7 linked regions of the Macaca fascicularis genome follow. The protein of the gene in region 2 purifies or fractionates together with the protein of the main gene of each other region. This does not show direct contact. Links are inferred from orthologs where the notes say so. Each region holds a gene or a part of one and is shown on either strand. Other genes may lie near its edges. The genes, in order: TRIM71, LIN28A, CDC5L, SSB, UPF0488 protein C8orf33, DKC1 and DDX50.

The links.
Region 1: the proteins of LIN28A (region 2) and TRIM71 purify together in Homo sapiens (affinity purification with mass spectrometry; 3 studies listed by BioGRID and IntAct, with this or other methods). This does not show direct contact. The link is inferred for Macaca fascicularis from reciprocal best matches to the Homo sapiens genes LIN28A and TRIM71.
Region 3: the proteins of LIN28A (region 2) and CDC5L purify together in Homo sapiens (affinity purification with mass spectrometry; 3 studies listed by BioGRID and IntAct, with this or other methods). This does not show direct contact. The link is inferred for Macaca fascicularis from reciprocal best matches to the Homo sapiens genes LIN28A and CDC5L.
Region 4: the proteins of LIN28A (region 2) and SSB purify together in Homo sapiens (affinity purification with mass spectrometry; 3 studies listed by BioGRID and IntAct, with this or other methods). This does not show direct contact. The link is inferred for Macaca fascicularis from reciprocal best matches to the Homo sapiens genes LIN28A and SSB.
Region 5: the proteins of LIN28A (region 2) and UPF0488 protein C8orf33 purify together in Homo sapiens (co-immunoprecipitation; 3 studies listed by BioGRID and IntAct, with this or other methods). This does not show direct contact. The link is inferred for Macaca fascicularis from reciprocal best matches to the Homo sapiens genes LIN28A and C8orf33.
Region 6: the proteins of LIN28A (region 2) and DKC1 purify together in Homo sapiens (affinity purification with mass spectrometry; 3 studies listed by BioGRID and IntAct, with this or other methods). This does not show direct contact. The link is inferred for Macaca fascicularis from reciprocal best matches to the Homo sapiens genes LIN28A and DKC1.
Region 7: the proteins of LIN28A (region 2) and DDX50 purify together in Homo sapiens (affinity purification with mass spectrometry; 3 studies listed by BioGRID and IntAct, with this or other methods). This does not show direct contact. The link is inferred for Macaca fascicularis from reciprocal best matches to the Homo sapiens genes LIN28A and DDX50.

What each region holds. Positions count from the first base shown.
Region 1 is NC_088376.1:15,515,452-15,518,951, reverse strand, and holds part of TRIM71 (E3 ubiquitin-protein ligase TRIM71), read left to right. Parts: intron 1-2,546; coding exon 2,547-2,681; intron 2,682-3,500.
Region 2 is NC_088375.1:208,705,608-208,709,107, reverse strand, and holds part of LIN28A (protein lin-28 homolog A), read left to right. Parts: intron 1-845; coding exon 846-1,030; intron 1,031-2,094; coding exon 2,095-2,311; 3' UTR 2,312-3,500. UniProt on the Homo sapiens protein: RNA-binding protein that inhibits processing of pre-let-7 miRNAs and regulates translation of mRNAs that control developmental timing, pluripotency and metabolism.
Region 3 is NC_088378.1:127,068,972-127,072,471, reverse strand, and holds part of CDC5L (cell division cycle 5-like protein), read left to right. Parts: intron 1-1,237; coding exon 1,238-1,450; intron 1,451-2,188; coding exon 2,189-2,293; 3' UTR 2,294-3,500.
Region 4 is NC_088386.1:65,359,470-65,363,399, reverse strand, and holds the end of SSB (lupus La protein), read right to left. Parts: coding exon 3,923-3,930; intron 2,266-3,922; coding exon 2,125-2,265; intron 1,697-2,124; coding exon 1,510-1,696; intron 1,371-1,509; coding exon 1,239-1,370; intron 897-1,238; coding exon 808-896; 3' UTR 743-807; coding exon of another isoform or gene 704-742; 3' UTR 501-703; downstream 1-500. Other genes in the region: rRNA N(6)-adenosine-methyltransferase METTL5, read left to right, coding at 39-106, 704-742. UniProt on the Homo sapiens protein: Binds to the 3' poly(U) terminus of nascent RNA polymerase III transcripts, protecting them from exonuclease digestion and facilitating their folding and maturation.
Region 5 is NC_088382.1:154,739,079-154,743,097, reverse strand, and holds UPF0488 protein C8orf33, read right to left. Parts: upstream 2,654-4,019; 5' UTR 2,631-2,653; coding exon 2,625-2,630; intron 2,537-2,624; coding exon 2,225-2,536; intron 2,059-2,224; coding exon 1,974-2,058; exon of another isoform or gene 1,904-1,973; intron 1,825-1,903; coding exon 1,678-1,824; intron 1,107-1,677; coding exon 967-1,106; 3' UTR 501-966; downstream 1-500.
Region 6 is NC_088395.1:160,880,829-160,884,328, reverse strand, and holds part of DKC1 (H/ACA ribonucleoprotein complex subunit DKC1), read right to left. Parts: intron 2,502-3,500; coding exon 2,381-2,501; intron 151-2,380; coding exon 32-150; intron 1-31.
Region 7 is NC_088383.1:77,534,481-77,538,527, forward strand, and holds the start of DDX50 (ATP-dependent RNA helicase DDX50), read right to left. Parts: upstream 2,801-4,047; 5' UTR 2,712-2,800; coding exon 2,625-2,711; exon of another isoform or gene 1,676-2,624; intron 1,553-1,675; exon of another isoform or gene 1,379-1,552; intron 1-1,378. UniProt on the Homo sapiens protein: ATP-dependent RNA helicase that may play a role in various aspects of RNA metabolism including pre-mRNA splicing or ribosomal RNA production.

The sequences.
Region 1 (3,500 bases), on a different chromosome or scaffold from region 2:
TTCCATTTCAGCTTTGGTCTTCACATGGCTTTGTTCTCTGTGTATCTGGGTCTGCACATGACCCTCTCTGGATATCAGTTTTGGGATTTAAGATTCAACTTAATCTACTATAACCTCATCTTAGCTAATTATATCTACAAAGACCGTATTTCCACACAAGGTCACATCCTGGCCCCCATTTAGTTGAGCCCAGAGTTTGGAGGGACAGTGTTTACCCTGACGCAGCTACCTAGTGCTTTGGTAAACACGATTATGGCTAGAGATGGGCAAATATAAAATTTATAGACTGTTCTGCTAATTGTTCTGCTAAATCCCAGGTGTCATAAGTATCATGGGCTTTGTACTTAGCTCCTCCTCTGATTGATATGTAATGGTACTTGAGACAGGATTGTAAAGGTGGAGCAGAAAGGTTATAGAAATATGCTGTTCCCTTCCAGCTTCAGAAGGGAAGTGGCATCGGAACTGGGTTTGGAAATTTAGGGTGAAGCATTCCAGGCTGGGGACAGCCTGTGAGCCCTCTGGATCTACCCAGTTCCCCTGTGAATCAGTTCAGTGGATCCTTAGGACACACAGGATCCTCTTAGGCAGGGAATGCAGTGTGGCCGCTAACCATTGGAGTCATGGGTGGTGTGCTTTTTGTTTTGTTTTGTTTTGTTTTGTTTTGTTTTGTTTTAAATAGAGACCAGGTTTCACCATGTTGGCTAGGCTGGTCTCAAACTCCCGAGCTCAAGTGATTCGCCTGCCTCGCCCTCCCAAAGTGCTGGGATTACAGGCGTCAGCCACTGTGCCCAGCCACCATGAGTGTTTTTGGGGCTGTACCTTTGAGCGTGTCTTGCATGCCATGAATGTGTCAGCTCTCATCCAGACTGAGTCAAACTGTTGGGCAGGAAGAATACTCATAAAAATAAGGTAGATTGTGTATTGTATGATGATGCCATCTATATGAAATACCCAGAACAGGCCAGGCGCAGTGGCTCATGCCTGTAATGCCAGCACATTGGGAGGCCTAGGTGGGCAGATCACTTGAGCCCATGAGTTTGAGACCAGCCCAGGCAACATGACAAGATTCCCCCATCTCTATTAAAAAAAGAAAGGAAGGAAGGGGTGGGGGGAGGGAGGGAGAAATGCTCAGAACAGATTTGTAGAGACACAGTAGATTAGTGATCGCCATGGTGGAGAAGGAGGGAAGTGGAAATGACTCCTTAATGGTTATGGCCTTTGCTTTTTGGGTGATGAAAATGTTCTGAAGCTAGGTACTGGTGATGATTACACAACACTGCACATACTAAATGTGACTCATGGTAAATCTTATGATAGGAGCTAAGTGGCCTGACGAGACACAATGGCTGAACTTTTGTCCCAGGTGTTTATCAGATGAGAACTACTAATAACAGTGTTTTACTCTGTGCCAGGTGCTGAGCTCAGCTCAACCCATGCATTGCTCTGCATTTCCCTCACATCTCCCCTTTACCAAGGTTGGAGAAGACCAGGAGCTTGTCCGAGGCCTTACAACTAGTAAGAGGCCCTAAACTAACCCAGGATTGGAACCTGGGTTACCTGACTCCAGGGATGACTGACTAGCCTGGTTTGCCTAGGACTGTCCCAGTTTTAGCACTGAAAGGTCCATATCCTAGAAACCCCTCAGTCCAGAGCAAACTGGGTGACTGGTCACTCTGATTCCTAAGCCCATGCCAGGCTCCAAACCCGTTGTGCTTCCCTGACACGCTCCTGATTGGATCACCTGCCCTGAAACCTGTTGCACCAAGAGCAATCACTTTGGAATCCCTGATTTAATACCTCGGTATCTCAAAGAAATCCTTGTGGCTTTTCAAGACACAGCATGTAATATTAATGAAAACACCATGCCTTCTGTCTGGATTAATTTTTTATGAACAATAATACGTCTGATTAAACTGGCTGATTTACTAGGGCTGGTACAGGGTGACGTGTATGGTGACGTGTAGATGGTCTCTGACCACGGGGCACAGCTTCTTAGGTAGATCGGGGGATATTCCCAGTGTGCACTTGGCGTTCGTTCTGGCTGAGATGAGCTGTGTTGCCAGTACCTTGACAAAAACAGGATGGATTAGCCACTAGTCTATCGCACACCCTCACGTGAGGGATGGGCCTGGCCTATGGGGTTTTGCCCAGGCAAGAGAGTGAGGCAGGGAAGTCTGGGGAAGCCACTTGTGTGGCTGGAGTTGCACATTTTACATCTGATCCTCCTTCCCCATTTTCGGCTGTCACCCAGCTACACTGGTTTCACTGTGTTAGAGTATCTCTTAATAGTTCTGACATTCACTGTGTAGGTGCCATTTCTCATGCAAAGAAATCCAGCTCTTGCCAGCAACTCCTTTAGTTACATGTCAGAGAGATGCCAGTCTCTCCCTAAGTGCCTGTTTTCCTTCCAAGGGAGTGAATCAAGTGGTCTGGGAGCCCGGGGTGTCAGCTTTTCAAGTCTGGCAGAGCAGATTCAAATGTTTTGTATAAGGAATGACAGTCCTTCTAATGCCTCGAAGTTGTTTTTTTTTTGTTTGTTTTTGCAGCTGAGCATCGAGCAGGCCCAGACGGTGGCAGAACAGGTGGAGATGAAGGCGAAGGTTGTGCAGTCGGAGGTCAAAGCGGTGACTGCGAGGCATAAGAAGGCCCTGGAGGAGCGTGAGTGCGAGCTGCTGTGGAAGGTAACGGAGCACTCCCCCACCCACGCTGTGCCCACTTGGCTTCCATGAACCCCAGCAGCGCTCTACAGGACTCTTTTCAGATCCAGGAGCCAAGCTCTTAAGTGTAAAACATTTGGTAATTTTCCAGAAAGTCTGTTGGCAGAAAGATGCAGGGGGTCCCTGGAACATTGTGGGTGCTGTGTGCGGTAAAACAAGAAGGGTTTTCAGAAGTACATGGGTAGCCAAGACTGGAAGCGGTGAAGCGGTCTCCAGTTTTATATTGCATTCACTCAAAGGGAGGCTAAAGAAGGGAGCATAGTCAAAACTGTTGTTCAGAAAGGCAGGCTGGTAGGAAGCATCCCTATTTTCGGTGACCTGGCTGGTTGCACTTCCTGATCTCTTGTGGAAAACCAGTTTTCCTCTTCGGAGGCAGTGAGTGTGTGCCCTTTCTTCCTGTTGGAGCAGGAAGGAGTGCCGAGCACACCAGTGTGCGGTTTAGATAAAAATCAGCTGGAAGGACTACTCGCCCCACCCAGGCCAGCATTCCAACTGTTCCTTTTCTGATTTTATGTCCCCGCTCAGAAAGGAGGAGAGTTATGTCTATGAAAGGGCCAGTACTCCATGCCAGTTCTTTAGCTATAATTACATTCTCTGAACACATGAAAAAGGCTAGAGCTGACTTAAAAGAGTATCCTTGTGGAGCGTGCCTGTTTCCATCTCCAAACAATATGATGATGGTGGGCATGGGCCTCAGTTTCTGCAAGTGACCTTTGCTAACTACTGTGCCCTACACTGTTCTGCAAGGCATCGCTGGATTTTGCATTGCATTTTCCATTTAGT
Region 2 (3,500 bases):
GTCTCACTCTGTTGCCCAGGCTGGAATGCAGTAGCATGATCTTGGCTCACTGCAACCTCCGCTTTCTGGGTTCAAGCAATTCTCCTGCCTCAGCCTCCCAAGTAGCTGGGATTACAGGTGCCTACCACCATGCCTGGCTAATTTTTTTTATTTTTAGTAGAGATGGTGTTTCACCATGTTGGCCAAGCTGGTCTCGAACTCCTGACCTCAGGTGATCCACCCGTCTCGGCCTCGCAAAGTGCTGGGATTATAGGTGTGAGCCACCGTGCCAGGCCCTCTGTTCTATTTTATTAAGAACTTTAGGCCGGGCGCGGTGGCTCAAGCCTGTAATCCCAGCACTTTGGAAGGCCGAGATGGGAGGATCATAAGGTCAGGAGATCGAGACCATCCTGGCTAACACGGCGAAACCCCGTCTCTACTAAAAACACAAAAAATTAGCCGGGCGAGGTGGCGGCGCCTGTGGTCCCAGCTACTCGGGAGGCTGAGGCAGGAGAATGGCGGGAACCCGGGAGGCGGAGCTTGCAGTGAGCTGAGATCTGGCCACTGCACTCCAGCCTGGGCGACAGAGCGAGACTCCGTCTCAAAAAAAAAAAAAAAAAAAAAAAAAAAAAAGAACTTTAAATTCTTAATTTAATAGCTATAAAATATCATGGCATCTGCTTATATAATTATGATTTTTGTTAATGTACTGGTAGACTTTTGTTGTTCGTAATTGTAGTGACTCTGAGTCAGTTTCCTTACCAGTAAAATAGGAGTACCATCACATTTGATTCCTGCCCTACAGGAATAAGTGCTCCTGGTCTTTCGGTGTAATAATGGAAACTAATGTTATTTCCCTTCACCAGAGTAAACTGCACATGGAGGGGTTCCGGAGCTTGAAGGAGGGTGAGGCAGTGGAGTTCACCTTTAAGAAGTCAGCCAAGGGTCTGGAATCCATCCGTGTCACCGGACCTGGTGGGGTGTTCTGTATTGGGAGTGAGAGGCGGCCAAAAGGGAAGAACATGCAGAAGCGCAGATCAAAAGGAGACAGGTATGGACTGGAAGGCAGCTTTTAGGTTGCTGGAGCATCCCCAGTCTCCCAATCCTGTCAGTTTTGGGTCACACAGCAAAACACGAAGGGAAGCCTGTGGTCCCTGGCAGCATCTGGAAGGCTGAGTGCCTGCAATAGGTGTGGGCAAGGGCAGTAGGTGAGGAGGGCACTGGGGGTGACTTAGTGCTTCTACTTGGGACAAGTAAGTTTGCTCTGTGGGCTCTAGCCTCAATTGTTAAGTGAGGCCAGTGATACTAACATCCTAGGATGGTTTTAGAATTAAAGGAAATCATGGATTTGCAAATGATGCGACAAGATAGTATTATCTGTATCTGTTGTTGCTTTACCAGGTCTGCAAATGGCGGGTTTCCTTAATCTTGTTTGGTCTTTTTTTTTTTTTTTGAGACGGAGTCTCGCTCTGTCGCCCGGGCTGAAGTGCAGTGGCCGGATCTCAGCTCACTGCAAGCTCCGCCTCCCAGGTTTACGCCATTCTCCTGCCTCAGCCTCCCAAGTAGCTGGGACTACAGGCGCCCACCACCTCGCCCGGCTAGTTTTTTGTATTTTTTAGTAGAGACGGGGTTTCACCGTGTTAGCCAGGATGGTCTCGATCTCCTGACCTCGTGATCCGCCCGTCTCGGCCTCCCAAAGTGCTGGGATTACAGGCTTGAGCCACTGCGCCCGGCCATCTTGTTTGGTCTTAAAGCCCCTTAGCTCTGAACAGATACTATAATTTGGCTTCTTTAATTTCTCTTATATTAAGGGTATGGAAGAATCTCTCCTATCCTCCAAGTTGCAGTTCCCAGTTGGGGTCAGTAACTTCTATTTCTGGTGTCTTGGTATTTTCAAGTTGACATGAATCTGAAGAGATCACCTAGACAATTAGATGTGGAAAGGACTTAAGAGATCATTTAGTAATAGTCCTCCTTTTGTAAGTGGGAAGTTTGGTCTCTGGGAAGGGAAGTAAGTGACAAACCTGTACCACAGCCAAGGTGTCCTCATTCATGGGAATCATCTGGCCTCTTCTTGCTCCTTTCTCTTACTTTTACCATCTTGATTTGTACTAGGTGCTACAACTGTGGAGGTCTAGACCATCATGCCAAGGAATGCAAGCTGCCACCCCAGCCCAAGAAGTGCCACTTCTGCCAGAGCATCAGCCATATGGTAGCCTCATGTCCGCTGAAGGCCCAGCAGGGCCCTAGTGCACAGGGAAAGCCAACCTACTTTCGGGAGGAAGAAGAAGAAATTCACAGCCCTGCCCTGCTCCCGGAGGCGCAGAATTGAGCCACAATGGGTGGGGGCTATTCTTTTGCTATCAGGAAGTTTTGAGGAGCAGGCAGAGTGGAGAAAGTGGGAATAGGGTGCATTGGGGCTAGTTGGCACTGCCATGTATCTCAGGCTGGGATTCACACCATCACCCTTTCTTTCCTCTAGGTGGGGGGAAAGGGTGAGTCAAAGGAACTCCAATCACGCTCTGTCCAAATGCAAGTGAGGGTTCTGGGGGCAACCAGGATGGGGGAATCACCCTGCAACCTGCATACTTTATCTGAGGCTCCATTCCCAGAATTTCCAGCTTTTGAAAGTGGCCTGGATAGGGAAGTTGTTTTCCTTTTAAAGAAGGATATATAATAATTCCCATGCCAGAGTGAAATGATTAAGTATAAGACCAGATTCATGGAGACAAGCCACTACATTCTGTGGAAGGGAATCTCTCAGGAGTAAGCAGTGTTTTTTTTTTTTTTCACATCTTGTATCCTCATACCCACTTTTGGGATAGGGTGCTGGCAACTGTCCCAAGCAATGGGTAATGATGATGGCAAAAAGGGTGTTTGGGGGAACAGCTGCAGACCTGCTGCTCCTGTGCTCACTCCTGCCCCATTCTGAGCCAATGTGATTTTATTTATTTGCTCCCTTGGATACTGCACCTTGGATCCCACTTTCTCCAGGATGCCAACTGCACTAGCTGTGTGCGAATGACGTATCTTGTGCATTTTAACCTTTTTTTCCCTTAATATAAATATTCTGGTTTTGTATTTTTGTATATTTTAATCTAAGGCCCTCATTTCCTGCACTGTGTTCTCAGGTACATGAGCAATCTCAGGGATAAGCCGGCAGCAGCTCCAGGTCTGCGCAGCAGGAATACTTTTTGTTGTTTTTGCCACCATGGAGAGCAACTATTTGGAGTGCACAGCCTATTGAACTACCTCATTTTTGCCAATAAGAGCTGGCTTTTCTGCCATAGTGTCCTCTTGAAACCCCCTCTGCCTTGAAAATGTTTTATGGGAGACTAGGTTTTAACTGGGTTGCCCCATGACTTGATTGCCTCCTACTGGAAGATTGGGAATTAGTCTAAACAGGAAATGGTGGTACAGAGGCTAGCAGAGGCTGGGCCAAGTGAAAGGCCCAGAGAGCAAGCCAAGATTAGGTGAGGGTTGTCTAATCCTAGGGCACAGGACGTGTTTTACATCTCCAG
Region 3 (3,500 bases), on a different chromosome or scaffold from region 2:
TTTTAGGAAGAATGAGTAGGCCTGGAATTATCAGTGGGATGTGCTGGGGGAAAGGCTCAGGATATGCCAAGTTCCTGCTCAGGCTGCCTGAGGGGTACTGTTTATCTCCCGCATTAGCTCTCTGATGCAAGTTAGAGGCCAGGCTGTCAAGTAGCCACTGGAAGAGTATGTGGTTATAAACCCTTTCTGGAGAGAAAATGAGAGCTGCATGTTCCAGACTCTTTTCTTCACTGCTCCCAGAGAGTGTAGCCCTAGAAAGTATTTGCACACCTGTTTAAAACCACCTCCTTGTTTTCTGATCTAGAGAGACATGCATATGCTTAGTCTCTTCCATTACCAGATCTAGGAGATTTAGGATATAGTCCTTTGGGTAGATGCTGTGCAAATTGAGGCATTTGATGTGTGGATAAACTCCTTCTAGGAGGAATTGGTAGGCCTAGAGTTACTGCTGGGGCAGACTAGGGGGAAAGGCTTGGAAAGTGTCCAGCTGCTGCTTAGGCTGCCAGAAGGCTACTTTTGCACTCCACTGTCCCATTAACTCCCCATGCACGTTAAAAGCCAGGCTGTCAAGTAGCCACTGGAAGACTGTGCCATGAGCCCCTTCCAGGGAGAAATGTGGAGCTTCATGTTTTTGGCTCCTTCTCTGCACTGCCCCCAACGGGTGCAGTCTGTGAAAGTACTTGCATGCTTGATTAAAAGTATCTCTTTGTTCTAGGGATGTAGTGATCTAGGAAGACTTGCACTAGATCCCTCAGCTCCCAGAGCCAGGAGATTTAGGATGCAGGCCCTGGGATGGAAACTGTAAAAGTTGGGGTCTTGATGTGTGAACAGACTCCCAGAAGTACATTTTTGGGATATAGATGATGAAGATGGCTTGTAGCTAGTCCCAAAATAAATATGTTGAATGATAGCAGAAGTCATTTTCAGAAAGTAGGCATTAGTTTTTCCCCTACTGTGACATTCAAGCCCGCTTTGAGGTTCAGTCATGGGTCAAATTATTATAAATAGATTATAGATTATTTGGTACTCACCTATAAAACCCTTTAGGTGCAAGATAAATCCTTCTTAAGCTTGATTTTTTTTTTTTTTTTTTTTTTTTTACAGTAGTTGAGCTATAAGGAGTTCTAGTGTATTTTTGCTTTGAGGCACATGCATGAACGAATGGCACCTTTTTAGCCCTTTATTTAATAGCCTACTTTTCTCATGTATGCTGATGTGATCTTCCCCTGCTCTCCAGATAAACAGGGGTCACATGACGACAGAAGCCAAGAGAGCTGCAAAGATGGAAAAGAAGATGAAAATTTTGCTTGGGGGTTACCAGTCTCGTGCTATGGGGCTCATGAAACAGTTGAATGACTTATGGGACCAAATTGAACAGGCTCACTTGGAGTTACGCACTTTTGAAGAACTCAAGAAACATGAAGATTCTGCTATTCCCCGGAGGCTAGAGGTAACGTTATATATTGAAGCGTTGCTTTAAAAGAGTGCTGCAAAGAATTATCAGGGCTGTCCTCTTTTACTTCTCCTATGTAGGCTGTCTCTGAAGTTGGTACTGTCAGGCTTTTAAAAATGAGAGCCTAAAGTGTTTGACTTTAATCTAGAATTGCCTCTGTGTAGATGGATAGACTAGGCAAGTTGTAGATACAAAGGCCTTCCTTTACTCATGTTCTGTTTCATACGTAGATACACTGTGAAATGGAATACTTAGCCCTTGTAATTTGTCCCCTTGAAACTTGATCACATCCCATTCGTGTAGCTCTGTGAGGGGAAACTAAACCAATATCTTTCTGTTTTATAACTTAGGTGGCTGGGAACATAGCTAGTCCTTCCAAACCATCAAATTCCTTTGACCGGATTTGGATTCAATTTATCTCCCAAATGTGCATAATAGCTCCTGTCCAGCTAAAGGGCAGCCAGGGCTTCTTGAAGTGCATTTGTGGGTACTGATAAGACAGTAGTGGTTTGTTTATTTGAAGTAGCAGCAGGATTTCATATGACCAAATCAAAGAATGGCTGTGATACTGGTTTTATAGCAAAAGTATTTGATATGTTTGTTTCTCTTTGAGAAATTTTTACCTCTTAAGAATCATGATTTAACTCGGCTGGTTTTTAAGATAGTAAAGTACTGTAGATTTTTTTCAATATAGTTACATCTAAAAGAATTACTTAATATTTTTGTTTCTTTAAGTGTCTAAAAGAAGATGTTCAGCGACAACAAGAAAGAGAAAAGGAACTTCAACATAGATACGCTGATTTGCTGCTGGAGAAAGAGACTTTAAAGTCAAAGTTCTGAAGTACAGTTTATATTCTGTCACAGGATTAATTGCCGGTTTTCATACTCTAGAAGGCTGAAACTGATGTTTATCTTCATTGACAAATTTACCCACCATCTGTGGTTTTTTGGTTGTTTATTTTAAATGATATCGATCTTACACATTCTGTGTATAAAGACCTTAACTCCACAGGACGGACATTTTAGAGTTTAAATTATTAAGGCTGTCATTCTTTTAGCAATGTCATATTTGCAAACTTTTTTAGTTTTGGCCTTTAATTTAAAAAGCCTAATTTTAAAGTGCTGCCTGTGAGTAACTCTTAAATAAAAACAAAATATAAAAAATTGAGAATGTAGCCTTTTGTTTTAAGTAATTAGATACTTAAGAGTGCCCGCAAACCAGCAGCTATGTACTCTGTGTCATATTTAATGAGTAACTCTTGGGTAATCAAAATGGTGATGCAGTATCTTAAACACTTAAGAGGCAGTTCTTTGTGGCTTTGTTAGTTTCAGCAAAGAATGGTCATTTCTGTGTACACTGATGAGTTAGATTAACTTTTTAGTACCTCAAATTTTTTTAAAATATCACTTTAAAGAAGGTTTCTTCTCCTCCAGCTACTTAAATAATTTATGGGTCAGGGCTTAAAATATTTAATTTTCCTTGACCCATTATTTTCTTGTAAGTATTTTTTGACAAAGGCATTTTAAAAGTTAATTTCAAGAAGGCCATCAAACTTAAAGCTCTATGTTTAGCGTAAGAAGTCAGTTACATCAGTGTAGAATGTGGGGAATGGATAGAGGTGGAGAGATTTAATTTTATAATAATTCATATAAATTAATTTAGTGTACAGTATCAGTTGGCTATGAGCTCATTATAGGCCAGCAATGTTTTGAGATGACCAAAAACATTTGCCCAGTCTTAGAATACTAGGAACTATAGGAAGGGAAGGGATTCATTCATTCATTCATTCATCAGATATTGAATGTATACCCTGTGCCAGAGTTTTAGAGAGAGAACAATGAACAAAATAGGCCTAGTTCTTGTTTAGTAGAGCTTATAGTCTTTTGAGAATAACAGACAATTAAAATCCAAATGTTTATTTGGTGATTCTTATGTGTCAGACACTTACTTAAGTGTTGGAGATAAGCAGTTATTAAGACCGAGTTCTTGCTGTCATGGAGGTGACATTAGTGGGGAGGAGATACTAAATATGTACAGGGAAAGTAT
Region 4 (3,930 bases), on a different chromosome or scaffold from region 2:
AGGGTGGTAAATGCTTGGAAATATAATTTTATCCTTAGGTGGCTTTTGTTTTACAGAGCTTCGATATGACCTGCCAGCATCATACAAGTTTCATAAAAAGAAATCAGTAAGTCTCTTGATTTTGGCTGGTCTACATTCGGTATTGAAAAGTTTTCTGGGCCGGACGTGGTGGCTCATGCCTGTAATCCCAGCTACTCGGGAGGCTGAGGCAAGAGAATCGCTTGAACTCAGGAGGCGGAGGTTGCAGTGAGCTGAGATTGCCCCACTACACTTCAGCCTGTGCAACAGAGTGAGAGTCAGTCTCAAAAAAGAAAAAGAAAAAAAAAAGAAAAGCTTTATGACAAGTAATTATTTCTAGTGTTATCAACTTTCCTGTGTAAATATAGAAAGACAGCCTAGGAGACACCATAAATGGCCTGTGGGAAGGGCCCATGGTCAACAGCTAATATTCTAGTTCTTTATTAAATGCTCTGGGTACAAAAAGAAAAAAAAAAAAACTGTTTTTGCTCTTTTCATATAGCATATATTTTATTAGTTTGTACTAATACATTCTCATATTACAAAGGCAATTTAATGGAAGAATCTTCCTTTTGATATTTGAACATCTGAAATAACACAAACAGAACTATACATTCAAAGAAATCTCATTTGCATAACAAAAAGACAAGTTAAACAACAACAAAAAATTTTTCCTTTCTCACAGGTGGACATTGAAGTGGACCTAATTCGGTTTTCCTTTTAAAAGCCCCCGCAAACAAAAGTAGTTTAAAACCTATTTAAAATGAATTAAAAAATTGGTTTACTAAACTACTGGTCTCCAGCACCATTTTCTGTTTTCTGTTGTTTGGATGCAGGTTCTTCTTTGTCTGTTTCTTCTCTTGCTCTTTTCACAGGTCCTATAACGTAACAATTAATTTTTGTTAAATTCAACGTAAGTACTGCTCTATTTTAATACTGAGTACAATTACTAATAATGATACTGTTGAAAAAGATGCAACAACTTCCTTGCACCAATGAGAAAAGGCTTTTCTCTTAGTACAGACCTGACCTCTAGATTCATCTTCCAAATATCCTGTCCCTGACTTATACAACAGCATAACCAAGGTAAATCATAATAATCCAAGAATGGCACTTATCCAGAAGTTGAAAAGCCAAATCCCTATTCTCTGGCAAATCATTTATTTATGGAAGTACAAATTTTCTCATGAAACTACCAAAGGACTTAGGAAAAAACTTACCAGTTGCACCATTTTCATCATGTTCATCATCACTAGCAAATTTCGTTTTCTTGCCCTGAAACTGTACTTTTCCTTTACCAGACCCAGGCTGGGCAGCTTTATTACCCTTTCCTTTTCCTTTAAATCTACGACCTGTAGAGACACAATTGAGCACTCTGTAAAGAATTTTTTTTTAAGTCTCTTGTCAATGTTTTTGAACACTGATTAAAGTTTTTGCTCAAGTAAATGGGTTCAACAACCAAACTGTTAAAGAAAAATCAGAATAAATGACCTTTTGACTTCCATTTGTTTAGGGATTCCTGTTGGTCTTCTATTATTTTTTTCAGTGCTTCTTTTTCCACCTCTCCTTCTAGTACTTCCCAAGTCACTTCTTTGTTCCTTAATTGTAGGTTACCATTATTTGCATCTTTGGCTTTACCCAAAGCTTCCTTGGCTTTTTCTTTAAATAGAATTATCCCCTATATCAGAGACAGAAAACAAAAGCCATACCCTTAGTTTTTTAGTCCCACAATTAATTTCTTTGTTCAAAGTAATTTTTTCTACCCTGCAAACCTTCCATGCCTTTACCAGTTTCAATGAACTTTACTGAACAGTAGAAAAGGAATGCTACAGAAGTAAAACTGCAATAATCAATATGAACAGTTATTCATAGTATAATTCAGAAACTATCAGACATCACATATAGTGACAATAACAACAAAGTAAATGATCAAGTAGAAACTAGTATAATTCAGAAAATATCAGACATCACATCTAGTGACAATAACAACAAATGATCAAGTAGAAACTAATAAACACAATTTTAAAAATTGCTTTCTACTAATTTTGTCTAAGTTTCTACAGATTTTCAAACTGACTGCTAAAAAGCATAGGAATGTTTCCAAACCTCTTTTGCTCCTCTGACGAAGTCTATCCATTTTATTTCACCATGATTTGAGAAAAGTATGTGTAAATCTTCTCTACAGGTCTGATCATCTAAATCACCTGAAAATTTCAGCAAGCATCCAATCTTTTCTTCTAGAGATTTCTATAAAAATATACAAAGCGATCAAAAAGTTTCTTAAAAGCAACAGACCATAAATGACTCACACCACATTATAGCTATACAAGAAAGAGCCTAGAAACCAAAATGCTATTTTAAAGTAGTTTCTCTTGCCTAGGCAGCAAGAGCGAAACTCCATCTCAAAAAAATAATAGTAATAAATAAATAAAGCAGTTTCATAGTGTTGGTGTTTTCCTTTGTCATCCTTTATCCCAAAATGGCTTTCAATATTATTTGATCTCTTATACAACTGGCATTTAGTTATAAACTACATAAAATCTGGTTATTAAACTATCTTGGAAAATAATTCCAGGCAGTATTTATCATACTTTAAAAATTTTTTAGGCCAGTTGCAGTGGCTCATGCCTGTAATCCTAGCACTTTGGGAGGCCGAGGTAGGCGGATCACAAGGTCAGGAGATGGAGACCATCCTGGCTAACATGGTGAAACCCCGTCTCTACTAAAAAAAAATATACAAAAAATTAGCTGGGCATAGTGGCGGGTGCCTGTAGTCGCAGCTACTCAGGAGTCTGAGGCAGGAGAATGGGGTGAACCCAGGAGACGGAGCTTGCAGTGAGCCCAGATCGCGCCACTACACTCCAGCCTGGGCGACAAAGCAAGACGTCTCAAAAAAAGAAAAAAAAAATTTTTTTTTAAAGAGTCATTATTATTTTCCCCAAATAAAAAATTTTACCTGTAACTTTCTAAATGGAAATACACATCACTATCTTATTAAGTCAAAAATAGCTGGGCACGGTGGCTCAAGCCTGTAATCCCAGCACTTTGGGAGGCCACGACGGGCGGATCACGAGGTCAGGAGATCGAGACCATCCTGGCTAACACGGTGAAACCCCGTCTCTACTAAAAAATACAAAAAATTAGCCGGGCGAGGTGGCGGGCGCCTGTAGTCCCAGCTACTTGGGAGGCCGAGGCAGGAGAAGGGCGTGAACCCGGGAGGCGGAGCTTGCAGTGAGCTGAGATCTGGCCACTGCACTCCAGCCTGGGCAACAGAGCGAGACTCTGTCTCAAAAAAAAAAAAAAAAAGTATTAATCTATGATTAGAATCTTTAGAAGTTATAGGAGGACATTTTCTCATAAACATAAGTTCTAGGCATAAATGAACTTTTTCTGAATATTTCAAAATATATTTTCCTGTGTTTTATTATATTCTTTATTTTTAGACAGGGTCTCACTCTGTCACCCAGGCTGGAGTGCAGTGGCATGATCTTGGTTCACTGCAACCTCCACTTCCTGGGTTCAAGTGATTCTCCTGCCTCAGCCTCCCGAGTAGCTGGCATTACAGGCATACACCACCACGCCTGGCTAATTTTTGTATTTTTAGTAGAGGCGGGATTTCACCATATTGGCCAGGCTGGTCTCGAACTCCCAACCTCAGGTGATCCACCCACCTTGGCCTCCTAAAGTGCTGGGAATACAGGCGTGGGCCACTGCACCCGGCCTTTTCGTATTTTAGAACATATTTCCTATCCTTAGTGTTCTCTTTTCCCTCAATATAATACCTGTGCAATGACAACTATAGATAGCTTTGCTTACATATTTTCTTGAAAAAGTCCTCAGACTTAAAAGCTATTCATTTAACTATGAATTACAGATATACTAGATAGCAGTAATATATACTTACCATTTCAG
Region 5 (4,019 bases), on a different chromosome or scaffold from region 2:
CTCTAACCAATTAGCATAAAACACCTTGCTCAGGCCATAGGTAGACCCAATCATTTTGTGCCTTAAGCTTTGTTTAAATTTCACGCCATAAGCTGTGTTTAAACTTGTGTTTGCCTATATAAACAACCTGTAACAAGCAGTCGGGGTCCCAGGGCCAACTTAGAGCTTGGGACCCTAGCGCGCTAGTAATAAATAACTCTCTGCTGTGAATCTCGTGTCGGTAATCCTTCGCGGCAACCCCTGCCCAGGAGGGAATCGACAGTTCGGTTCCAACATGCCGAGGCTCAATCCAGGTCTCAGGCCAGAACTGTTAGGGCAAGAAGCTCCTTCCTCCTGAGAAGACAGCCATGCCTGGTGGCTGCCATGCTGGTTCCCTGAGGATGACACCTGCTCAGGAATGAAGGCAACATGGACAAAGGATCGAGGCAAGGGACTGGACCCAGGGAACCAGACCCCTGCCGTCTTCTGTACTTCCTCTAACACAGGTGGTCAGCACACTCTTTCACTCGTTATCCAATTTTATCAAAAATAAAGACTAGGGCAATGTGACATAACAGCATTAAGCACTAAACCATTTGACAGGAATTCCTTTCAAAAGTGAAAAACAGTGTATAATTATATAGCTTCTCCACTAATCTTTGTTACCAACAGCCACTTAATCTAATCCTAAAGACTGAGTACAATATTCTTTCTACAATACTTCAAACAGTCACTTCAATTTATTGTATATTTTCTAAATGCACCTCTCTCTGTTCTGAAAGAGAGAACATTTCATCACAAAACAAATGGGGTCTTTTGCCTATCTGATGGTCTCACACCTTCACAACAGCTCTAAATACTTGGACCAGCCAGGGACAGACCAACCCCAGGGTTCTCTGCCAACAGAAGTCCTGAAAAGGCTCTGCACTCAAAACAAACCCCTACACCACCCCAAGGGAGGGGGAATGTTCCAGGTCGGGGGAGAAGCTAAAAGAAATTGAACCGAAACTCTTCATCAGGAGTGTCCAGAGTGGCTTTGCTTCGCCCTATAGGGCGAGGCCTGCAGACCCTTCGGCTCTTCTTTCTGGTGGCTCCATCTACAGGCTGCACCTGGGCTAAATAAGCAGCTGTCAGGGGAGAGAAGCAGCGTATGTGAGAACTGAATAACAACAGCTAACATTACCTGTACAGTTATGTTTGCCCATACAATTCTAACCACTTTGAATAAATTAACTAATTCCTCAAATTTGTAAGGTTGATATTACTATCACCGCCCATTTAGAGAGGTTCAGTAGTTTGCAAAAGGTGTTAGTACTACTATGTGGTAGATCCAGGATTTGAACCTAGCTCATCTGGCTCCAGGAATTGCACTCAAACTGTTATGGGATATGGCTTCGTTGCCAGTAGAGAGAGCCAAGACACAAAAACATAACGCAGCTTTCCCCAAGCCAGGAGCAGGACCAACACAGGGTCACACTCTTTCCCGCTCCTCCCATGACCTCCCCGCTGCTTCCCAGGTTCAGTCCTGGGAAAAGGAGAGACAGGTCCATCCTTGCTCTTTCCCTGTTCCCTCAGGCTTCCCTGAGCTCATCTCCTTCCCCCACCAGCCTTGTTGCTCTGGGCCTTCTTCCTTTCACCCCCTAGGCACTTCCTCCTTAAATTAGGCCTTCCTAAATCAACCAGTTACTAGCTCCTCACCAGATCTGAGAGCCCGCAGGGCCTCACGCCATTCGGCTTCCATCTGAGCCCTATAGTCTCCAAACAAGGAGTGCATCAACTGCCTCTTCCGGGGCAGGGGCGTTCTTTTGCTGCGCAGGGTTCGGATTGCTCCAATAGCCTGCTCTTCTGCGAATAAAAACAAAGGACTAGTGAAAACCTCTACTACTGACCTCCTACCGCCCCACCGCAAAGGAAACAACTTCACCTCTGCCAGCACCTGCAGGCCAGGCGGTGCCACTCTTCACATTCCCCAACTCTATAGAAAGGTCCCTTACTCTGTTTTGGGGTGGGTTTCTGCCTCTTGAGGCCAAGCTCCAGTTGTTCCACACACCAAGCCAATTCCTGGGCCAACTGCTGCGCCTGTGACGGATTTGGGGAAGTGGCTGTGAGAGGGCACTGGGACACAAAACAGCGCCTGGCCCCATCCCATCCCCCTCCCCGCCTTAACTCTGCGGACCCCAGATCACATGTGCCCGTGGATTCGCACTAGGGGATTCCACCCTTCCTGACTGACGCCCGCCCTTGCCTGGGCCTCAGCGCTTAGGGGCACTTCTTCTGGGGCGGGTTTCTCTGAGGCCTTCTCGCCTCCATTTGCCACAGAGGCCCTGTTCCGGGTTTTCTTCTTATTCTTTTGTTTTTTCGACGCTGCACTGCCTTCATCGCCTAACGGGTGCGCTCTGGGGTCGGCGTTACTGCTCGTGGGTTGCCCTGGGCAGAGACAGACAGTGGAGGGATTCCGGACGCTGGAAACCAGGCCGGGAAGCCGGTGTCTGCGGGACGCGCAGGGAGTACCCGGGCCTGGGGCCGCCGCTGCCTCCCCGGCAAGATGTCCTAGGGCCTGGAGAAAGGGGGGCAGCACGAGGGTCACGGAGGGCCACCGACAGTGCGACGCCCAGCCACCCGCGCGTCTTCTCCACACCGCTCACCGCCATGCTCCGCAGTCGCCACCGGAACTACGCGAGGCGGAGTCCGACGTCGAATTCCGTCCTCCAAGAGGGCGCCTGCGACTCTAGGTTCCGCAGGGTCGCGGGCGGGGCGGGGCGGGGCGGGGCGCGGGGGCCCTGAGGGGAAGGGGCGAGGCTGGGGCGGGATGAAGCTGGGGCGCGGCGAAGGTGGGACGGGGCTGGGACCTGGCTCAGGCGAAGCTGGGACGGGGCTGGGGCGGGGCTAGGCGAGGCGGGGCGGGGGCGGGAAGGGGACGGGCGGGGAGAGGAGAGGAGGGGCTGGGCGAGGCTGGGGCGGGATGAAGCCCAGGCGAAGCTGAGACAGGGTCGGGGCGGGGCTGGGGCGGGGGCTGGGGCGAGGGCAGGGCGGGGCTGGGGCGAGGGCAGGGTGGGGCGAGGCCGGGGTCGGGGGTGCCTGGGGGATCCGGAAAGAGGCTGCAGGGCGGTCTCGCAAGTGCTCCCGGGCACCGACTATGTGCCCGGCACCTTTCCGGATAAAAGTTCAAAGCTCTACACAAGGGTGTGTCTTCTCAAGGCTCACCTTTTGGTGGGGAGGGAAAAGCAAGTAAACAGAACTTGAGCAGCTGTGGCGCAGGAGGGTGGTCGGCAAAGACCCCTGGGAAATGGGGAAGAGGCGCAGGCCTGGGACCCGGCGCAGCCCGCGGCGCTCGCTCCGAGAGGATCAGGGCACCGTCGGTTGAGAGGCCGGCGACGCGGGACGTGGGGGCTCGGGTGAGGTCTGTGAGTTGGGAGGTTTACTTCCGTTCTAACGCAGTGGGAAGTTGCTGCAAGATGTAAATCTGAAGAGTGGCATAATCGTAGACGTGTGTTCTGCGGTTCTCTCTGCTCCTGTGCAACGAGTAGGGCACATGGGGTGGAGGGATGTGGAGGGATTTCAGAAGCAGACGCGGGAAGAGCCTTGGACAGGATATGGGCGTGAGGGAGGGTGGCGGTATGGGGGAGAGGGAGAGGCCAATCCACCTCTCTTCTCCCGGATGCTTCCCTCCCACTATACCTTGCTGGAGACCTGGGGTCACACACAACACTCGACCCCCGCCGATGGAGGCCTGACAACTGAGAGGAATTGCGTAGGGGCTGAGGTGAGACTGAGTGAGGCTTCAGGAGCGGGCTAGGCCAGGAGGGTGGGTTGTGTTGCTTGAGAAGGTGAGAGTTCGACTTGTCTGATGATTCCTGTCGGGGACACAGGAGTGGAAAGTGGTGTTTCCTGAGACCGTGGGATGGGAAGTGTTAGCTGCCTGGTCTGCAAGGTCTGGAAGGGTAAAAGTTTGGTCATCGCTGGTAGTTATTTACTGCAGTGTGGCAGATTACCCCCAAAATTCAGCAGATTGGCCGGGCGCGGTGGCTCACGCCTGTAAT
Region 6 (3,500 bases), on a different chromosome or scaffold from region 2:
CTGGCAGAGCACGCAACCCAGTACCACTTACCTTTGGACCTAAACCCCACTTCCGAGGGTAAGTGTCTCTCTCCATGATCACTCTCTTGATCTTTGCTACTATACCATGATCGCAGGTAGAGATGACCGCTGTGGTCATTAACGCAATAGCTACAGGCATTGAATAAAGAAAAGAATTATTTGAAGGGGGAAAGAATTGATAATTGATGAGCCCCAACTCTACTGTTGTATGCCACTTTCAAAACTCTGAGCTCTACTACTTTAATTGGGGTTTCCTTTGCTCAGGATATGCATATGGAAGAAATCCCCCATTATGAGAAGGAGGCTTCTGAAATGATGTTAAACTTCTCAAGTTAAAAAACACCTAACCAAAGCACCTAACGATACACATAACAGGCTTGCAGCTCAAGACATCTATAGGAATGGCATGCACACTCCCTTTGCGGCCACAGAACCTTTGAAGTTTTAAGGATTCCTTTTCTGCTGCTGTCCATAGGCCATGGCTGGCCTGCCTGCTCACAGAGCTAAGGAATCCTGATGACATGCTTACTTCTGGTACATATTGGACCCATTAAATGAATAGCTCTAAGGTTCATTCGCTAAGAGGGTGCAGAGCATTTAAAGTCTTAAGAGACAATCCAACAGTAGCTAAGCTTTCACGAGTTAAAAAACACTGGTACTTTACATGGAACCACAAAAGACTCAAACTAGCCAAAGTGATCCTAAGCAAAAAGAACAAACCTAGAGGAATCACATTACCTCACTTCACATTATACTATAGAGCTACAGTAACCACAATAGTATGGTACTGGCATAAAAACAGGCACATAAACCAATGGAACAGAATAGGGAACCCAGAAACAAATCCACACAGCCACATTGAACTCATTTTTGACAAAGGTACCAACAACATACACTGGGTAAAAACCAGTCTCTTCAATAAATGGTGCTGGGAAAACTAGATATCCATATGCATAAGAACGGGACAAAATATCCGCAAACTACCCATCTGACAAGGGATTTATAACCAGAATATATAACGAACTCGGCGCTATAGGAAAAAAATCTAATAATCCAATCAAAAAACAGGCAAAATATTTGAATAGACACTTCTCAAAAGAAGATAAATAAATGGCAAACAGGCATATGAAAAGGTGCTCAACGCTGATCACCAGAGAAATGCAAATCAAAACTACAATGAAACATCATTTCACTCCAGTTAAAATGGTTTATATCCAAAAGACAGACAATGACAAATGCTGGAAAGGATGTGGAGAAAAGGGAACCTTTGTACATTGTTGGTGGGAAGGTAAATTGATACAACCACTATGGAGAACAGTTAGGAGGTTCCTCAAAAAACTAAACTGAGCTATCATAGGATCCAGCAATCCCACTGCTGGGTATATACCCCAAATAAAGGAAATTAGTGTTATCAAAGAGATCACAATAGCCAAGATTTGGAAGCAACCGAGGTGCCCATCAACAGATAAATGGATAAAGAAAATGTGGTACATATACACGATGGAATACTATTCAGCCTTAAAAAAAAATGAGATCCTGTCATTTCCAACAACATGGATGGAACTGAAGATCATGTTAAGTGTAATCAGTCAGGCATAGAAAGACAAACATTGCATGTTCTCACTTATTTGTGGGAGCTAAGAATCGAAACAATTGAACTCGTGGACAGAGAAGAGTAAAAGAACGGTTACCAGAGACTGGGAGGGTAGTTGGAGGCTGGCAGGGAGGTAGGGATGGTTAATGGGTACAAAAAAAAAAATAAAGGCAGATCACCTGAGGTCAGGAGTTCAAGACCAGCCTGACCAACATGGCAAAACCCCATTTCTACTAAAAATACAAAAAATTAGCCAAGTGTCATGGTGTGCACCTGTAATCCTAGCTACTCGGAAGGCTGAGTCACGAGAATTGCTTGAACCTGGGAAGCAGAGGTTGCAGCGAGCCAAAGTCACGTCACTGCACTCCAGTCTGGGCGAAAGAGCAAGACTCTTGTCTTCTTAAAAAGCAAAAACAAAAACGAAACACCAACAACAAAAACAAAAAAATCAAATGAATGAACAAGACGAGTAAGACCTACTATTTGATAGCCTACTATTTGATAGATTATAGTCACAGGGTGACTATAATCAATAGCTTAAGTGTATATTTTAAAATAACTAAGGTGATAGATAAATAACTAACAGTAAAATAGGATTGTTAGTAACACAAAGGAGAAATGCTTAAGATGGACGCCCCATTCTCCACGATGTGATTATTATGTATTGCATGCCTGTGTCAAAACATCTCATGAACCCCATAAATATATACACCTACTATGTAACCACAAACATTTACAATTTAAAAAATAAACATCCCCTCTTACCCATGCAGATTGCCTCTCCTTTGGTGGTGATAACCACAATCTCCTGATTGACCTCAATGCCATCCTCATATCGAAGAACACCTGGAAGCATGATCTTGGCCCCATAGCAGATAGCATTTACCTGCAGAGATGGCACCATGTGTGAGGGGCCCAGCTGCTGCCTTCCAACCCACTCCCACACCAGAGTAAAGGAAGACAACAAGGGGGTGGGGTCTGACACCATGAAACAGGGATGGCACTGATAGCCCACTAGCTGCAAGGGGCATGAAGGGACTCAGAAGAGCAACAGCCACCTCACTGTGCTAGGCACCACTCTCTGCACTTTACACACACGACTTAAAAGTCGTAAAGAAGACTTTCAGGTTTTCAGGTTCTAGAGACTCACAGGTATTTTCATTTTATTTTTTTATTTTTTGTTTTCCGGCAGAACCTCCCTCTGTCGTCCAGGGTGGAGTGCAGTGGCCCGTTCTCAGCTCACTGCAACCTCCACCTACAGAGTTCAAGTGATTCTCGTGCCTCAGCCTCCCAAGTAGCTGGGATTACAGGCATGCGCCACCACGCCCAGCTAATTTTTGTATTTTTAATAGAGACAGGGTTTCACCATATTGCCCAGGCTGGTCTCAAACTCCTGAGCTCAAGCAATTTGCCTGGCCTGGCCTCCCAAAGTGCTGGGATTACAAGTGTGAGTCACTGCACCTGGTCGGTATTTTCATTTTAAACATAAAAATAGCCTTGGCATTCCTTAACTGCTCCTCTCTCCTCCTTATCAGGAGAAAGAATAGATTTACTAGAGATCCAGGCAATAACAGGCTCCTAAAGAACTTGAAAACAAGATTACTGAGGCCTGTTGAACCAATCACACAAAAGTCTTGGTGCAGAATTTATAGATCAATAGGTACAACTTAAGGCTTCCTCTCCAGAAGTTCAATGGTGCCCAAGGCACCCATCTGCCTCATGCCATCTCCACTCACCTAGATCTCTTTTGCTGATCACATTTGACCCTCCCTTTACATTCACCCAGAAGCCAATGGTTTGATAAGGAGAGGTTATCACATTTATGTTGTCCACTGTTTTGTGACTGAGTTTTTTCAACTATTATGGTGCCATCTTTCAGTATTTA
Region 7 (4,047 bases), on a different chromosome or scaffold from region 2:
TGTGATCGTGGCTCTCTGCAACCTCTGCCTCCTGGATTCAAGCGATTCTCCTGTCTTAGCATCCCGAGTAGATGGGATTAACAGGCGCCTGCCACCATGCCTGGCTAATTTTTTTTTTTTTTTTGAGACAGAGTCTTGCTCTGTTGCCCAGGATGGACTGCAATGGTGGGATCTTGGCTCACTGCAACCGCTGACTCCCGGGTTCAAGCAATTCTTATACCTCAGCCTCCCGAGTAGCTGGGATTACAGGCACACACCACCACACCCAGTTAATTTTGGGGTTTTTTTTTTTTTTTTGAGATGGAGTCTGGCTGTGTCACCCAGGCTGGAGTCCAGTGGCGCGATTTCGACTCACTGCAACCTCAGCCTCCCAGGTTCATGTGATTCTCTTGCCTCAGCCTCCTGAGTAGCTGGGATTACAGGCGCCTGCCACCACGCCCGGCTAATTTTTGTATTTTTAGTAGAGACGGGGTGTCACCATGTTGCTCAGGCTGGTCTCAAACTCCTGACCTCAGGTGATCCACCTGCCGCAGTCTCCCAAAATGCTGGGATTACAGACGTGAGCCATTGCACCTGGTCTTTTTTTGTATTTTTAGTAGAGATGGGGTTTCACCATGCTGGCCAGGATGGTCTCGATCTCCTGACCTCATGATCCACCCACCTCAACCTCCCAAAGTGCTGAGATTACAGGACAGAGCCACCACGTCCGGCCTAATTTTTACATTTTTAGTAGAGACAGGGTTTCACTGTGTTGGCCAGGCTGGTCTTGAACTCCTGACCTCAGGTGATCCGCCTGCCTCAGCCTCCCAAAGTGCTGGGATTACAGGCATGAGCCACCGCGCCTGGTTAATTTTTTCATTTTTTGTAGAGACAGGGTTTCTACAAAACTCTACCTAAAACTCCTAGGCTCACGCAATCCTCCCATCTTAGTGTTCCAAAGTGCTAGGATTACAGGCATAAGCCACTGCGGCTAGCCACCAGACCAGTATTCTAATGCTCCATTTCTTTTAGCTGGTATTCCAATCCATTTCCAAATCTCTGGTTATATTTCATAGTTAAAGGGCTGTCAACACGTATTTCTGGAGAATTTACAATGTGAAAGCCACCAATTTACAACAATATAGTGAAACATAAGGATGGAAAACGATTTGGTCATTTTCCTCAAGAACTTTTCGGAAATATGTGGCATAATATAGGAAAAATGAACTAATTTTACATAGAAATGCATAATAAATATCAATCAAATGATAAAGATAGCCACTGAAACTAGGTAACTGTAAACTAGGGTTGTTAGGAAAGACATAAACTAGGCCTTGACGGGTGGACAGGATTTGGATGCAAAACATAAGAATTTCAAAAGAAGCCTTTTTAAAAATACCTGCTTGGTTTTCTGCTTACACTCTAGGTACCTTCAGTAGTCAAATTCACAGAGCGAAAGTAGAATGGTGGTTGCCGGGAGTGGAAGGAGAGAGGAATGAGAAGTGAGTGTTTAATGGGCACAGAGTTTCAGTCTGGGACAATGAAAAGTTCTGGAGATGGATGGCGGTGACAGCTGCAAAACGATGTAAATATACTTAATGTCACAGAGCTATATACCTAAAAATGGTTAAAATGATAAATGTTACGTATATTTTAGCACAATAAAGAAAAGTGTTAGCTGGAATGGCAAGTTTACCTTAGTGATAAGGTCAGAGAGGTAGATTCTGCTTTCTAAGGCTATACAAGTAAGTCTCATTCTTTGGTTGAATGTCAGCCTCCGAATACTGCCACCTTAGCCTCTTCAGCTGATTTCTTTTTTCCAGGTCAAGTGTCTCCAGTAATAATTTTACCTGGGCATTTTTCAGCACCTTGTGATCCTCTGAGTGTTTCAGGATGTTTTTTCCTTTTCCTATTTTTTTTTTTTTTTGGAGGCCATGGGGGTGGGAGGAGGAAAGACTACAACTCCTCTACAGGCTCCTTGAGAGCAGGGACTATTTCTTTACTTATTTAGTTTAACCTCCTTGGTGCTCAGCAAAGAGTATGGTACAAATTAGGTTCAATAAACACCTGCGGATTGAATGAAAATACTGACCGTAAAAGCTATTAATAATGCAACCCACACGATCTCCATCACTGACAAATCCTGGCAAGGCTCACCGTCACACTTTTCCTTAAGCCTCTATAGTTATGGAGGTTTGTAAACCTAAGATCGCTTTCCCCAGGATTCTTGCACAGGGGACAGAGTGACAGAAGCAACACATATTCAAAGCAATCATTTTTTCTTAATTATCTTCTAAGAGGGCCAATGAGAACGAAATGACAGGCGTCACTGCTTATGGAGAGAAAGAACAGATTCCACGGTGATGCGAGCTTGAGTCTGCCCATCTCTGAGATTCAGGCGCCAACGGGAACGGCTGAGGGGCCACGCGGGGGTGAGGCCCAAAGCCCAGGGCCATCTTTATCCAGGTCGGGAGTATGGAGGTGGAAATGGTCCCTGAGCGACCTCAGAGGGCCGAGGGCGGCGCGAAGAGAGGCCCTCAGATGCTCCGGCCCGGTTCTGACAGGCCATCATCAGGGACAGACAGTTCCCCTCCCCGCCCAAGCCGGCGCAGCCCAAAAGGAGGCGCGGCCCATGCTCAGCGCACCTTTTGCCTCTCCTTCTTCTGGCTCTCGGACTCCTCCAAGGGTGCTTCCAGCTCCATAATGTCCCCCCACAGGAGTTTCCCAGGCATTACTGGCCACCGCCGCCTCCCTCGGGGCACAGTGGCCACTACCACCTACGGGCAGCGACAGCGTGAAAGGAAGCGGGGGCAGGGCGGCCGCCCGGCCTTGGCCGTGCGTCACTTCCGGGACACGCACCGCGCGGCGGGGAAAAATAATCCCGGATACTCTCAGTTTAAGTCCTTCCATTGCGCCGCAACTTCTGAACCAATGAGTGTGAGAGATCTCAACTGGCCCACCCTTATTGTGAAGTGATTGGCTACTAGAGTAAAGCCCTGGCCAATCTCCATAAGGAAAGCACGCACTGGTTAGCATAAATAATTCGGTTTATCTTCCCCTCCCCCACTCCGAACTGGTCTCCACGGCCCCGCATAGTTTTTTGGGGGCTTCCCAGTGTTCACTGCTGGGGCTGGGAAGGGGGCTTCCCAGTGTTCACTGCTGGGGCTGGGAAGCCCTTCGACGTGGGTAGACACTGTCCGGCGCGCGGTGGGCGGGTGCGTGGGCAGGTCTGCGCTGAGGCCAGTGGGCACCGCCACGCGCCGCCTCGCTATTTGCCGCCGGAAGCTGAAGCCCTCCGCCCCGCCCATTGCGGGGGAGATGTTAACGACCAACGGCTTAGCGCGAGGCCACGGGCCTGGCGACGGTGGAGACTGGGTTTTCGAAGTTTGCGGTGGGCCAGATGGGTCGGAGGTATAGCCGGGAACGGACAGATGTCTGTCCCTGAAGTCTTAGGTTTTAATCGTGAAGTTGGTCACTGGTTCATTGTGATCCTTCTCACGCTGTCCATTTGACCTAAGAAGAAACCCGAGATAGGAATGTATTTGTCTGAAGTCCCACAGCCTGTTAGTGGCACAGTCAGGACCAGGGACTTCAGCTCCTGAAGCCGAGATCAGTGCTTTCTCTGCCACATCAACCTGAAAACTTTGTTTTGCAGTGTTTTGGGGAAGATGCTCCCATGAAACTACAGGAAAAACCCGAAGAAGCCTCACATTTTCTGCTAGCCGAAAGAGCCAAAATGTCTTCCACAGAGTATCTATTTGCAGTAAAAAATGATTTAATTTTAGCGATGGGGATTAACTGCCCGTGAATCACCTTACACAAAACTGAAACCTTTGACAATACAAATGGTAACTTCCTTAGTGTGTTTGTATACCTTTGCTTACTATCACCGAGGCTAGCTAGTTGCCTTTTCACAGTCATTTCTTCATCTCTTCATGATCCTTTCAACCCAGCTACTCAACCCAATGGAGACACAGGGCTACTCATAAACCTCTTGATAACGTCTAGCACACCGCCTTAAAACCTAAGCATCAAACTGTGTCCTAGCAAAATTACAAATTGTTAGGT